2 linked regions of the Alligator mississippiensis genome follow. The protein of the gene in region 2 binds, or shares a complex with, the protein of the main gene of each other region. Links are inferred from orthologs where the notes say so. Each region holds a gene or a part of one and is shown on either strand. Other genes may lie near its edges.

The links.
Region 1: the proteins of DLC1 (region 2) and TNS2 are in contact, whole or in part, in an NMR structure (PDB 2LOZ), measured with the Homo sapiens proteins. The link is inferred for Alligator mississippiensis from reciprocal best matches to the Homo sapiens genes DLC1 and TNS2. Residues at the interface, in NP_001335010.1 of Homo sapiens: Glu811, Asp812, His813, Lys814, Pro815, Gly816, Thr817, Phe818, Pro819, Ala821, Leu822, Thr823, Asn824; in NP_736610.2 of Homo sapiens: Asp1268, Leu1269, Leu1270, Arg1271, Gln1272, Gly1273, Ala1274, Ala1275, Cys1276, Lys1317, Ser1319, Ala1320, Gln1321, Thr1324, Leu1387, Asp1388, Pro1389, Asp1390, Gln1391, Val1403, Leu1404, Leu1405, Gly1406.

The regions. Positions count from the first base shown.
Region 1 is NC_081838.1:9,353,093-9,361,205, forward strand, and holds the start of TNS2 (tensin-2), read right to left. Parts: upstream 3,196-8,113; 5' UTR 2,809-3,195; coding exon 2,476-2,808; intron 1-2,475. UniProt on the Homo sapiens protein: Tyrosine-protein phosphatase which regulates cell motility, proliferation and muscle-response to insulin. Phosphatase activity is mediated by binding to phosphatidylinositol-3,4,5-triphosphate (PtdIns(3,4,5)P3) via the SH2 domain.
Region 2 is NC_081825.1:62,126,155-62,133,487, forward strand, and holds the start of DLC1 (rho GTPase-activating protein 7), read right to left. Parts: upstream 3,250-7,333; 5' UTR 2,858-3,249; exon of another isoform or gene 2,844-2,857; intron 1-2,843. UniProt on the Homo sapiens protein: Functions as a GTPase-activating protein for the small GTPases RHOA, RHOB, RHOC and CDC42, terminating their downstream signaling.

The sequences.
Region 1 (8,113 bases), on a different chromosome or scaffold from region 2:
GGGAGGGGGGGCAAATGCCGGCGTTCCCATTGCAGCCTCCCCCAGCCCATGCATGCCCCCCTGTCTGGGGCCTGATGCAGCAGGCCTGGGGCTGCGGTCGGGCCCGGACGCCTGGGTTTTATCCTCAGCTCTGGCACTGACCTGCCGGGTGACCCTGGGCATGACCCCTCTCCTGAACACATCGCCTAGGGTATGAGGAACCAGCTAGGGTTGTGCCCCCATGACGCTGCCCCCAGACCCACATTGCCTGCTAGCCAGGCCCCCGCTCTGCTAGCCACGCTCACGGCCAGCGTTGGGGCAAGGGCTCCAGCCAGGACCCGCGTCCCCCAACTTCCATCCACACCTGGAATGAATAAGGCAGGGCCTGGGGACACCCGGCAAGGAGGGGGCTCCTGGGAGATGTAGTCTGGGGCAGGGGCCTCGGCAGTGAAAGCTGCCCTGTCTGGGCCAGGCTGAATGGGCGCCTTTCACGCGCCGGCCCAGCTATAAATAGCCATGAATCGGTCCCTTTGTTGCAGCCGGCGGAGAACACGAGTATCTGTGCTGCAGGGCAGGATTGGGGCGCGGGGCGGGGGGCTGAGGATGGAAGTGGGGGGCTGCCAACAGCAGGGAGCCCCCCCAGTCCCAGACCTGACACCCCGGTGATGGGCTGGGACAGCCTCAGCCCTCCCAAGCCGGGGCACGGCCAGCCACAGTGGAACAGCCGGGCCACGGGGAGCCCGGTGCACACATGAACTCACACCCACCCCTGAAGTAAAGGTGCCATGCACGCATGCACCAGTGCGCACAAGTGTGGACACGCTCGCTCTCCTGAGTACACACCGATGCCTTATGCATGCACATGCCCCTCTGGCACCTGCCCTTGCACACTCCCCTTGCATGCACAGGCGAGCCAGGCAAGCAGGGCCCTGAGCCCCGGCCACGGCTGGCGGACAGAGTGCAGCTCCCGCCTCGCCTCACCTCTTACCGGCATCCCGAACGGGGAGGGGGCTGGCGCCTTGTGCCCTGGTGTGCCAGGGGGGCTCCAGGAGCCGGCCGGGCTGGGGTTGAGTCCTGCCATTGGAGTCCCAGGAATCTGCGCCATGGCACAGCCCTTGCCAGTGCCCGCCCCCCCCTCCCACGGCTAGGCCCGGGCAGCAGAACAACATGTTTACTCACTGGCTCCGTCCCACCGCGGCGTGTCAGTGCCCGCTATTGTGCGCGTGCCCCAGGCACCGTGCCCGCCCCTGCCAGCTGGGCCATGACATGGGGGGCTCCTGCTCTGGGACCCCTGTGAGGGGCTGAGCTGGCAGCTGGGGAAATGGCGGGGGGGGGGTTGTGGGAGAGAGGAAAGTGGGCAGAGATACGGAGGGTGGGATGGAAAGGGCAAGAGAAGGGATGGGGCGGGCAGCAATGGGGGAGATGCCAACCTGGTCAACGCCAGCCCCGTGCTGGCCCGGAGACCTCAGCATGGCCCGGGCAGGGCGGGGGCTGTTCCCACGCCCCCGTGACAGCGGGATGGGAGTCTCCCTGACAGCTGGACGCTGTGTTCCCAGTGCAGGAAGCGAGAGGGGACAGGCTGGGGCCGAGTGCGGGCACTGAGGGCACCTGGGCATCCTCTCCTCTGCTCTCTGCACCCTCTGCCCTGCCTGCTGCAGGCACGAGTCAGCCCCGAGCCCGCCAGGCCCTGCCCTGCCTCACACACTGCACATGGGACCCCCATGGGGGATTTTACTCCTGGGTTCTCCTGCCCTGGCTCAGATGCAGACATGCACTCGCACAGACACATACATGTATACAGACATACATGCACACAAACATGCTCACACACACATGCACGCAGATGCACACGCACACACACAGATGTACACACACACACGTAGGCATGCGCACCCACACATGCACACACACCTGTGCACATGCAGATGCACATGCACGCACAGACACAGGCAGGCAGACATGGGTAGACATGCAGATGTGCACACAGATGCATACAAACATGCATGCAGGCATGCACATGCATGCAGGCAGAAGTGCATGCCCCTGCACAGATGTGACACGTGCAGACATACACATGCTGTGCACATACCCAGGCACAGGCATGAAGACATGCATGCACGCGCACACACGCATGCAGAGCCAGGACCTGGGCTGAGATTAGGTAGCTCATTGCACACCTGGGCAGGACAGAGGCTCGACTCCCACCCCTCTGCCCCCACCCCCAGGTACAGCCTTGGCACTCAGAGGCAGCTCCCAAGTCACTTGGCAGGAGCCCCTCGCGCTCGGCACTGTGCAGTGAGTCTGGGACAAGGGCACATGGCCCCTCTAGTCCAGCCGAGCCTGGGAACCGGGTCAGACCCATCCCTGGCACCTCCCACGGGGACCCACTCTGCGCCTGGCCCCCAGATCCCCAGGGGTCCGCTGTCCTGGACCACCCCTGCTCCCAGGGGAAACTCTGACCCTCCCCGAGCAGAGCTGGGCGGGGGTCACACCTACCCTGCACGTGCCTGGCGCCCGGGCACTGCCCCTCCGCCCCAGCACCCGAAACAGCACGTCCAGCGTGTCCCGCGGCTTCATGGCCCGACTGTGGCTGGCCTGGGCAGCCCCTCGCCCTGTCAGCACAGGAGCGGGGTCCTGCTGGCCAGCGCCTGCTTGCCCGTGGGATCGGACGTGCAGCTGGAAACAATGAGGCAGGGCCGGCCTGCGGCAGGACGGGGCTTCCTGACGCACAATAGCTCCTTCCCGTGGTGCTGAGGTCATTGCCATGGCCCAGGGCCTGCCAGGGTCCGGGGTCTGCAGTGGCCTGGGGCTGGCCCAGGCAGGCTGCATGCCCCACAGGGGACCCAGGCAGGCCAAGGGAGCCCGAGGAGCCAGGGGAGAGGGCAGGCTGAGCCCTGAGGGGTTCGTGACACCGATGACACCGCCAGCATCGGCCCTGAGCCAGGCAGGATGCAGCTCGGCTCCGGCCCACTCCCGGGGCTGGACCTCGGGTTGGCGTCAGCGCCGGGGCCTGCCAGGGACGGGGCAGGGTGGGGGCTGGCCGCGCGCGCTGACATCAGCTCTCAGCAGGGAGAGGCCGGTGCACAGGGGGGCACAAGGACGTGTGCACATGCACATGTGTGCAGGCAGCCACCACACGTGCAAGCTGGCCCGGACCTGCACACGTGTGTGGCCGCATCGCATGCAGCGCTGCCCCATACGGCCTCCCACACACCTGCTGTGACACACGCAGCCTCCCCCAGCTCCAAACACACACAGCCCCCGCACTTGGGCACGCACACGTGCCCCCCCCCCCACACACACACATTCCCTGCCTGCCCCCAACCTGGCCCCTGCTTTGCTGCCTCCCTGTCCTCCTCCGTGTCCTCGCCAGGACCTCGGGCTGGGACGCGCCTTGCCTGGGCCAGGGACTTTCCAGGCACTTGGTGCCCCCGCCCCGCACCAGGCCTGGCCCCAGCCCCTGCTCTGGCTCCGATCCGAGGGGTGGATACAGGCCGGGAACCTCCGGGGGTCTGGGGCACCCCGCTGCGCGCCAGGAGCTGCACAACCACGGCTCGCACCCCCGGGGCCATCCTTGAGCCCCCAGCCCATGCACCCCTACAGAGCACCCCAGGCCCCCCAGGAGCAGAGCAGCCCGCTCCAGCCAGCCTGGGGGGCCAGGGCGAGGTCCCTGCTGTGGCCCCCCACATCCCAGGGCGGGTCCTGGGGCACCGTAATGCTGCTAATATTCGGGCTGTGCTTCCCCCTGCAGTGACTCCCCCCTGCTCAGGGCTAGAAAAGCAGCCTAGCCTCTCCCAGCTCCCGCCCCTCTTCTGGAGCCAGGGCCAGGCCTCCGCAGGGGGTCCCGGGCAGTGCAGCCCCCGGCCCCCTGGGGCTGCCGCGTGCAAGCCCCTGTCCCTCCAGGCCTGTTGCACGAGGCCCCTGTCCTACAAGGCCCTGCCGCACGAGCGCCCCGTGGTACGAGACCATCGCGCGAGTGCCATCGCACCAGACCCTGTCACACGAGCCCGTTGCACGAGGGCCGCCACTCGAGACCCTGTTGCACGAGACCCTGTCACAAGCCTGTTGCACAAGTGCCGTCCCATGAAAGCCCATTGCGCGACGCCCTGGCACACGAGCCCGTCACACGAGTGCCGCCACACGAGCCCGTCACACGAGTGCCGCCACACGAGCCCGTCGCACGAGGGCCGCCACTCGAGGCCCTGTTGCACGAGACCCTGTCACAAGCCTGTTGCACAAGTGCCGTCCCATGAAAGCCCATTGCGCGACGCCCTGGCACACGAGCCCGTCGCACGAGTGCCGCCACACGAGACCCTGTCACATGAGCCTGTTGCACGAGTGCTGTCACACAAGACCCTTGCACGACGCCCTGGCACATGAGCCTTGTCACACGAGACCGTGTTGCACGACTGCCCTGTCACACGAACCCCCCCCCTCCCGGTCCAATCCGGAGCGGCCCCGTTCCCACGGCCGCAGCAGCGCCCAGCCCGGGGGGGAGGGGTCTCCACGGCAACGCCTGGAAGCACCGGGGTTATTATGGGCTGGCGGGAGCCTCCCCCCCGCCCCGCGGCTGTGCCTGCCCCGCCCCGGCGTGGAAACGGAGCGCGGAGCGACTCCGGATCGGCCCCGCGGTACCTTCATGGCTCCGGCGCCGGCTCCGGGTCCGCGGCCGCCGCCCTCACCCCCGCCCCGGGCCGGCTTCCTGCGGGGCGGGGCCGCGGCTGCTCCGCCCGGAGCGCCAGGGGTTAATGAGGGGGCAGCCCGCCCCCTCCGCCCCGGGGCACAAGGGGTTAAGCCCGGGCCAGGGGGTGGGTCGCCCGGCTCCGGGGCAGAAGGGGTTAATCGGGGAGAGCCCTGGGATCCCCGGGCAGAAGGGGTTAAACCCTGGGGATCAGAGGGGGATCATCTGGAGGGGGGGGTTGAGGTTTTAGACCCCCCCAGGGCTGAAAGGGTTAATGCGGGGTGGGGGGGGGGGCGGTTAAGGTCTGAGACACCCCCCCCTCCAATGAGCAGAAGGGGTTAATCTCCAAGGGGTGGGAGTCTCCCTGCAGAGCTGAAGGGGTTAACCTGGGGGCGAGGGGGGGCACCCCCAGCCCAGCTACTGGGGTACCAGGAGGGGTTCGTGCCCCCCCACAGAGCGGAAAGGGTTAATCCCAGGGGTGCCCCTCCCTCCCAGTCCCAGCCCTGGGGCACAGAAAGGGTTAACCCCCTCTGCGTGGGGCGGGGCAGCCAGGAGCAAGAAAGGGTTAATGTCAGAGGTCTGCCTGGCCCCCCACCCCCGAGCTGAAAGGGTTAATAGGACAGTGCTCAGCTGGGCGGGGGGCTCCATCCTGCCCCCCTGCAGCACCTTGCTGGCACCTCTCCCACCCCAGGCCTGGGGGCAGGATCTGCCCCCCTCAGGGGCAAATTCTCCATGGGGGATGGAGAGCTCTGGGGGCGCCCCCCTGTGGCCTGGCCTTGGGGGCGTGGGGGAGGCAGGACTCCTGGGTTTTAAATCCCTGGGGCTGGGCAAGGAGGGTCCCCGGTGTGACGAGTCTGTCCGGTCTCAGCTGGGCTACGACCCCCCCCCCCGGGAGCTGGGGACCCCAGAACCCAGCGCCCTGCACCCGACACTGGAGCAGCTGTGCGGGATTCGAACCCACGGCCCAGGAAGCTGCAGGCCTGGGCGGCTCGGCTCTGGCAAGACTCGGCCCCCCCACTCTCCTGCTCCCCCGCTTGGTGGTGGCATTTGGCCCATTGCACCACAGAATTACTTTAATTACCTTTGGCTAATTGCAGGAGGCTTCATTAACCCCTCAGTGGGCAGGGCAGGGGTGTGCTCTAGCAGGCCCCAACAGCAATAAACCCAGGAGGTGGCACAGCTCCCGCCCCCTGCGCAGATCCAGCTGCAGCCCAAGGGACCCCCTTCCCCGCCCAGGGGGCCCAGTGCCCGGCACTGCGTGCCACACAGAGCTCGCCATCCGGCCACCTGGGCACTGTCCCAGGAAGCCACAGCAGGGGCAGCCAGGGAACGGGGGTGCAGGCCCACGTGTCCTGGCAACCCCTCCGCTGGCTCTGGGTGTGGACGCCTCTGCCAAAACCCGCTTGCCGCCTGCCAGCGCCGTGGGCCCGGGAAGCCTTGCCCCATCCTGCTGCCCCCGGGCCCTTTCACGCTGCGCCCGGACCTCGGGACTCCCTGAACCAGGCTTGAACCGAAAAAAATGTAAAGCGTTTCCTGTGCTGGTTCGGGATCAAGGCTGCTGGGGGGCAGGGGCAGGGCTGCGGAGGAGGCCTGAGAGGTGGGGGGCAGAGCAGGCCCTGTCTGGGCACCCCCAGGATGAGCCCCCCCAGCAGCTGGGATGCTTCCTGGGTCATGATGGGCAGGCACCCAATTGGGCATCTCCACGGGAACACACCTGGGGGAGGGGGGTGCCATCCTCATGCTCCAGGGCGGGAGAGCCGGGGTCAGGAAGGCTCCGGGAGCTGGCTGCCACCAGGGCTCCGGGCAGTGCGAGGTTAAGTGAGCGCGGGAGCTGGCAGGGTTGTCACCCGGCGCCTGGCTCCAGCTCCCTGCTCCAGCGCCCGGTTGTGACGCCGTTTGCAAAACATCTTCTGCCAGGCCCTGACCCCCCTGCCATCACCCCCCCCACGATACTCCGCTCTGGCCCTGCCACCCCCCATGCCCCTGCCCACCATGGGGCTCTCCTGGCCTGCTCCCTGCCCCCTGCCCCGACCCCACAGGCATCGCACCTTGGGCAGCTGCATCCGGCCGTGGCTCGTGCGGGTCCCGGGCGCTGGGGGCCCCTGACAGCAGCCACGGTCCCAGCAGCGGGCGCCTGCCCCCCGGCCCATGCAGTCTCCCCCGCGGACGCAGCCCCACGCTGCCTTCTTCCTCCGCACTGTTTTTTTCCTCTGGATCTTGCAAACTCCACCTCCTGCTCCACTCCCCCACAGCCCCCCCTTGGCTTTGGCATACACACACACACACGTGCGCGCGCACACATACACACACACACATACGCACACGTACACGCACACGCACACATGGCTTAATCATAGTTCCCTCTGTGCCAGAGCAAACTTGGCAGTGCCAGCAGGAGCCGGGATCTCACCCGGCTCGGGCCCCTGGAGCAGGTGGAGAAGGGAGCCCGGGACTGGGGGGTGATGGGGAGGGAGCCCCAGCCCCGGGGGGTTCAGACCCCGGCGGAAGGAGGTGTGGACGGGAAGGGGGAGGAGAGCCTAAATCCAGTGGCGGGAAGGGGATAATTAGAAACACATTCCCGCTCCCACATCGGCTGCGGTGTTGTTCTGTGGTGATGTGTGTGTGTGTGTCCGTGTGCGTGTGCACACACATGTGTGCATGTATGTGTGCTCATGTACCTGCCTGTCTTCTTGTGTGCCCATGGGCATGTATGCAAGTGCATGAGTGGTGTGCATGTGTCTTTATGTGTGCGTGCATGTGCATTGATGTGTGCGTGCATGTATGCATGCGCACATAGGAAGCTAGGCTGCTGTCCCCAGCCCTGCCACTGCCCTTCCCTGGCCCCTTGGGCTTGTCACTCATTGCCCCCAGTTTTCCCTCAGAGGTTCATGCCAGGGCCTGGCCCTAGTGTCCCCTGGCACAGAGCCTACGCCCCAACCCCGGCTGCGTCATGGATGGATAGGGTGGGGGCACTGGGGTGACGGCTGCAATGCTGGGGGTGATGGCAGGGCTGGGGGGGGATGGGGGATGTTGGGGTCAAGATCATCCAAAGTTCAGCCTTAAAAATAGCCCCTTCTTTGTGCTGCTGTTGGAGGATGTTGTACAACCCTCTGGGCCCTTCTTCCTTGAGGCCTCAATGCCAGCATGTGGGCAGGGGAATCGCAGGGGTCCTCGTTTGTTCTGCCCTGAAGCGAGATCACAAGTGGAGCCAAGTGACATCGTCCCTCCATGGTGTGACATCACCGAAGGAATCCTGGGGGCTTTGTCATCCGACGGTTACATCATATCCATCATCCAGCACCGTTGGCCGTCCGTGGGAACCCCGCGGTGCCCGCAGGTGAATGGGATGATGCCACTTCCCATTTAGGACATCACCGCTTTGAGCCAGGTATCACCGCCCCTTGCTTCTTGACTAGACCTGCAGGACCTTCCAGGTGGACTCGGGAGATGATG
Region 2 (7,333 bases):
AATATACATTTTAAGTTCAATCTAAGAGGTTTTTTTGTTCAAGAAAAGCAAACAATTATAGTAGTAGTTGACTGCTTCTTCTCAGAGGGCTACACTTATATAAACAGTCTCTAAAAGCATCAATAGAAACAAATAACATAACATATTATGAAATACATTCAAATATCTTATTCATTTTTATTGAAATATTATAGACCATACTTCTAAAAGAGCCACAACTCTTTTGCCTCTCAAAAATGTTGATGTTCAAGAGTATCTAATCATTTCACTCCCCGGTAAAAGTTTTTTACTAAAATGCTGAATTCTATAGCATGGAATTATTTGTGTACACAATTTTTTGGGAGCTAAAAAGGCCAATAATGTTTTTCTAATATAACATCTATTTTGTGAATTCTTTATTCATTGTAGATCAATATATGAGCACATGCTGCAATGTTGTCTTTCTAGCCAATGGAAAAAAGTAGATTAATGTCATTTACCTAAAATCTTACTATACTATGTAACCTGCTCTGCTATAGGAGTAACATGGGACCATCCCTCAAGTACGTACCCCGACAATGCTGATACTCTGATTCCATGTGATTAAGGTGTTCAAAATTTGCCTCCTCACTCCTGTATTATTACGAATATTCTTTGCAACACTTATTTCAAGGGGGGGAGGAGGTAGGGGGCACTTCACTTGCAAATCAAAACTTATCTTTTAATTTCTTTGAAGATTTTTCCTAGCATACAATGAACATATAAATGGAACCAGGACAGTTACAATTAAAATAGAGAATATTCTTTCTGAGCAAAAAAGAACCTTTTTATAACTTCTGCAACTTTTTCAGATAAATTTATATTTGGCTTTTCTCAAATTCTGAATTAAACATTTTGAATACTGCTGTATTAAGCCAAGTTCAATGATTAGGTTTCATTTGGTTATTAAAATATAGACGGCAGACTAACTAGAAAAGATTTGTCACAAAACTGAAATTGAGTAGCCACAATGATCTATCTTAAGAATTAAAAAAAAAACCCTCTTCCTAAGTGAAATCAAGGACAGCTAGTCACTTTGTATTACAGTTGCTATTAGCCCATAAAACCATCACAGTCAAAATGGCAAAACTCATCTTTTTCCTCTTATTTTGTCACTTGTGTTGAGTACCTTTACATTACAGTGAGGTCCACAAAAACACATTGGTTAAGCTTTTTTTCAGAAGTTGATCAGCACCACACACAATTAGCCCTTTTTGACATAGCGTTCTGTTGTTGCCTTTCAAACATTTAGCTTGTTCCAGGGGCTACTGTGAAATGTTAAATACTTGCAGGGTCAAGGCTGGAAAAGGCGCTTGATGCTAAAGGGAATGTAGCGTATTCTTGCAAAAGCATCAAGGCTAGAGATCTCCTGGGATATCAGGTCCCCACTCATATTCCACAAGAGTCATGCTGAGCTTCTCTCTTAGCATATTTCTCCTGAGCCTTTAATTCCACCTTAGCTGTCCATTATGGCTATGCAGTTCTCACTTTGAGTCCTAGATGGAGAAGGTACTGTCAATAGAGACAGCAGTAATTTCTACATTAATTCTCCCCAGAAATCCATGGATCTTGAGGGGAATACATAACTGCCTTTCACTTACTGCCAGTCTTGCTTTACCTTGTTCACCATACCTTAAAAACACAAAAGAACCATGTAGGTGTTTGAACCGAAGGTCTTCTTCTGTTTTATAGAGTTGGGAATACTTGGAGTATGGCTGCCAATGCCCTGACAAGGTGAGATTTGAACCCCTGCTGGAGTCATTTTTGCACCTTTGCTCTCCTTTTGGTCATATAATAAGAAACTTCAAGCCCCTTATTCTGAAACTATATTCAGTAAAAATCCAGTTAAATGTTCTCATGCTTATCCCCAACATATTTGAAAAGATGACTCATGTTTAGTTACCTAATTGGCCAATAACTATGGAGTTTTAATGATGCACAGAAGCAGGAAAAAATATCTCTCATATTACTTCGGTGTAACAACTGTCATTATGGAAATACAGAAAGATAAAAGGGAATATTTATCATATAGTACACTATCGAATATGCTTTCCAGTGTTCATGACACTTTAATCATTTAGTCATTCACTTTATATAAACTAAATGGTACATACATTTATGCTGTATCCATTTTATGCAATATCCTGAATTCTCTCTGAAATACTTCACAAATCATCTTTATAACTTTGAACTGCTAAATGTCACCAGAAATATTTTTTAAAAGTTATGAGATTCATATTTCTTCAAAACTGTGATCACTTGACATTTACTGAATCTTACCTTTCTTCCTTTTTAAATAACATATCACATAGAAAACAATTTATCCAGGTGCATTAAGTTATTTTTAATTCTGCTATTTTGGTTGATGGAACCTACAGACCTGTTAGGGAATATGCCCTGAAATTTTACATTTAGAATTTACACTTTAAAGAATATTTTAAAGATTTTTTCAACATCTAACATATGGACTGAAGCTAAGCTCTTGCGAAGAGCTGTAGAAACCAAGACCAAGTGATATAACCTACCCAAAGCTTTGCTTCACTGCATCAGTACTAAGGGAAAAAAGCCACTGTAGCTCTAGATGCCCTCCTTAATGGCAAATGAGGTGAAAAAAGAAATCATTCACACTTCTAGTTTTCATATTTTATGGACATTAAAAAATATGCAAGTAAGACCAGGCAGTTCTATTTATATTACAGTGCAAATAAACAGGGTTCAGCATATCATTTATATTTTTTAAAGACAGAAATAAAGTGCACAAGCAGATTTTGTTTTAGACCTGGAATATTTTGATAAACATAGCTAGCATACAGTCTACCACTTACTGTGAATATTTTACCTCCAGTGTTACTGCTGAGATCCAGAACGTAGAAAGCTCCAATGCAGCTTACTGACATTCAGCTTAACCAGTTACAGAAAACTTCCTCATTTTTCAAATCATCTTTATTTTTGTTGTTTATAAAACCTCTAAGATCCCAAGACTTCCGTAACTACATGAAGAGAGGGTGGACCTCGGACATTACCTCCATAAAAAAAAAGGTCATTAAAGAAAAAAAAAAAGATTAGTTCCCAGTTAGTTTCTGCTAGCACAGAAGTTCAGATTTCGTTGCTGAGATCATTGCTCTATTCTAAGCAGTTTTGCTCAATGTGTGATTCTAACAAAAACACCCTCTGCAGCTGGAGGGAGCCTTAACTAAGCAGAATTCTGTCAAGCCTTTCCCAGTGACTTGTGTCTACTAAATTCAGACTGATGTTTTGTGAAAGGGGCCTCAACAACCAGGCCCAGATTGCCTGAAAAGTATTTCCTGCCTTTGAGTAGCGTGTGTGTGTGTGTGTGTGTGCGTGCGCGCATGTGTGTGTGGGTGTGTGCGCGTGTGCGAGTGAGCAAGAGAGAGAGCAAGAGAGAGACTGCATAGTGGAGGGAAAAAAGAAAAAAAAAGACAACAAATAGTGTTTCAAGATCTGTGATTTAGCAGACATCAGAGACAACTCAAACTATTTAGGAGATTTATGATGTCGTTACATAATTTAAAAGTATGGCTGATTTACCAAAAATATTCTGCAAGAATATACCATGCATATGAAACTGAACTACCATCCTCAAAGACAGGAGAATGTCTTTGAATGTTCCTTTGCTCTTTTGCACTTCAGAGCAAGAAATGAGCAAAGAGCAAGTTGGCTTACATATAATAATACATCACATTTACATTCCCAGTGCACTTTGAAACATGAAACACACAGAATTCTATAGATATAGTTCATAGTGAAAACATATTTTTACTGATGAAATTCAGTTGGATCATGAGACATTAATGTCATTACAGTTTAAAAGTTCTTATAGCACAGGCAGTGGTACATGCTGCTTTACCTCTATTGAGAATCCTCCAGTGTCACACAAATCCAGCTTTGCAAAAGGACAGACTCCATCTTGATCATATTAGAATTTTGCTGACATAAAACAGTTGTAACTACTTTCCAGTTTGACAGGGTGCCTGAATCACGTCTCTAGAACAGTCCACAGCATCTACATCCTACGTTCTACACAAGTTTTGTGAAACTATCATCTGTTTATCTTTTCTGCTTTCTTCTGCCTCCTCTGAATGATTTCCTCTTAGTTGCTCCAGCCTGGGAACTTGGATTACCATTTGGTTTTGATTAAAACCAGACAGACAGCTCTGTAGAAGTTGGAGAGTAAGCTAATGGAAATCACCAGTATGGCTTTAATTTGTGTATCAATTAATAATAAATGTTAACTATTCACACGACACACATTACTAACACTCAAACCCACACCCCCACACAACATTAAGCCTGTAGGGGTCATTTTTAGGCAGAATAATGGAAATATTCCCACATCATTTAGTACGGTTAAGCAAGGCACATGGGAAGGATGCTCTTGTGTGTCACCAAACTACAGGATGGACCCAAACTAACTTCTTTTTTTCTTTGTTTATTAAAAAGGGAAGGAAGGGTTTTTGCTGAGTTTAATTATATAAGTTGCACAGCATTTTCTTTTTGTTCATCCATTTATCGCATGCTAAAAAACATTTTATAGTTATTTAAGACTAAGGGTAAGTACAGACACTCGAAAAGTTCAAGGTGGAATCAAGTGGTTTTCTGTAAGCGGTGTAGTTTAAATCAGCAATGAACGGAACACACATTCACCTTTTGGTGGGGGGCAAATCTTAGATGCTTTCTGCCATTTTTAAACCAGTCTGTGTGCCAAACGTCTGTTCTGTTATGGGTATAGACTGGTTTCCAACCACTTATACTGGTAAAAGTGTAGTGTCTGTACCTGACTTAAATGAATTGGGTTCTTACTGATCCAATTAATTGTAGTGTTTGGTGTCCTGTAGATGCAAGAAAAAGTGCAAAGTCATGGAGATAACTTCCAACTTAAATCATAAAACAAACTACCTGCTTTACTCACAGTAGTATCTGAACAACTAGGGAAAATTCTGTTTTTGGCTTCACTTTGTGGTTCTCTAAAATTTAGAACAAGGTATGTACTGATAGAACAATGGCAGACATTGTACCTAGCAGTTGATCCATTAACTTTCTTAAGAAATTCTGCAAGGCTACTCTTTTTAGGATGAATCTCCAACTGGCATTTGTGCAACAAAAGATGGTGGATTCTGCCAAATGTATAAAGTTGTTCTCAGCTATCACCTAATATGGACCTATCTGGCCCTAATTTACTAAGCCTTAGATCCTCAACATGTGGAAAGTTTTGTGTTAAATTTTGCAAAATGTGGTCTTCATTCCTATGAGTGTAATTTTATATGTGCATTTTCAAGCCCTGAAATTGTGGTATTAAGTCTTGAATCTGGGCTTGCAAAGTTATACATGCACAAATGGAGGCTGGACTAAAGCCTCTTTTTAAAAGTTGATCCATTATTGTCAGCAGATGTTGTGCATGTGGAGAAAGGCATGCATAACTTAAGGTTGAATAACTAATTCACCTAATCAGGTTCCCCATTACTATGAAGATGAAGATCTTAGAAATATATAAAATGAAACAATAATAATACTCAGATGTGAATTAAATACACTGCAATCTTGCAACTTGTAAATGTAACTATTTCAGCTAAATTGTTTATTCAAAGGCAAACTCTAGCACTAAAGCACAATACACTGGGGTGATACTTAATATTTTTCTGGAGGATTTTCATTTTATAGTTCAATGAATGAATGATGAGAAAGACTTATGCTAAAACCAAAATTTCTGTTTTGCAGAAAATCCATTATTTTGAAATTTGCTTAGTTCTGAATGAGAGTGAAAACAAAGACATTTCAAATGCCCTGCATTTATTCTTTACTGTTTAATTATAATTTTCAAAATGAAAAAAACAAAATATTCTCCCTCAGAAAGGTTGCAAGATAGAATTTCAGCCTAATCAAAATATTTTTTCTCAATTTCTTTTCCTAAGGCAAAATTTTGTCAGAAGTCAAGATATTCCATTGGGAGGTTTCACATTCAATAAACTATTATTTTTCCATGGAAACATGTTCTTTTTGTTTTTCAGTACTATATACATGTAAATACGCTATATAAAAATTGTACGATTTCATACATAAGGAGAAAGTAAATATGTGGAAATATATTACAACAGCATTAATATATACTAACTACTAAACAGTAACAATGTCGCTGTACAGCAACATGTTGTCATGCCCTATGTATACTACTTATAACTGTGAATGTATAGTTTTACATAAAGCATCTTAGCAAATACTAATACTTTTGTAGGTAGTTAGAGTCTAGGCCTGCTATTCAGCCATACCCATGCTAATGTACAGAGAAGGCAATATAAACTCTCTCCTACATGTTATTATTTAATATGACTCTATCACATAAAGTTAACTTACTTGCTCTTCAACTCACTTGCAACAAGAATATATAGATGGCACAATCCTTCAAAATAACAGACTACATTTTTTTAAATTCAACTTTTTTAAAGGTCTGTTTTACATTTTAAACTGTGAGATATGCCTGGAAGGTGGACTCAAAGAATTTTATATATCTAATAACTAGTCCTTTTTTAAAATATTTCCAGTCCTGGTTGTATCAAATCAGGGTAAAGTGTCCACATCATGAAAGCTACCTGTTGGCACTTTTAGTCCTTGGAGGATGAAGTACAGCTCATCCCTAGATGCTATCTTTCTTGGTTACATTTAAGGCCCATCATCAACTTGCACTGCTAATGTCTATGATACCCATTCCACAAATAACCCAAAAGTATTTTCAAAATTGCCAGTCCAGCACCCCTTTTTGAGAGCTAAGTAATATAAACAAACCCTTCTAATATGTATACAAGTCACCTAAATTCTGGTTAGGTAACTTTGGATAAAGTATTTTGGATAAACGACTTTTCAGTACTAAGATGCTATATTTTTATTATCGTTATGTTTATTCACAAAGTATTGTGTAGGACATTAATCATTAAATTTTGGAAATAGTTTAAAAATAGAAATATCTTATGGAGGATTTCAGAAATAAATAAAATGTGGGTAGAATTCTTTGGTATCACTTGTGAGCTATTAAAGTTATTCACGTGGGGCTGTAATAAAAGAAGAATGATTTTAGAAAGGTCAGAAGACTATGTAGACTAACTGGCTCAGTAGCTACTCTACCTTGGAGCCTCTAAGGAGAAAGCAAGTGCTATGTGATTACACAAAAATAATATTTTGGATCTCTCAGAGGGGCTGAAATGTCAAACGCAAAGCCACTGCTTTTATGTTAGGGGTAAATACAACATGCATAACCTCTCAAACAGCAGACATCAAATTTAGAGATAGTATATCAAGAGATCCG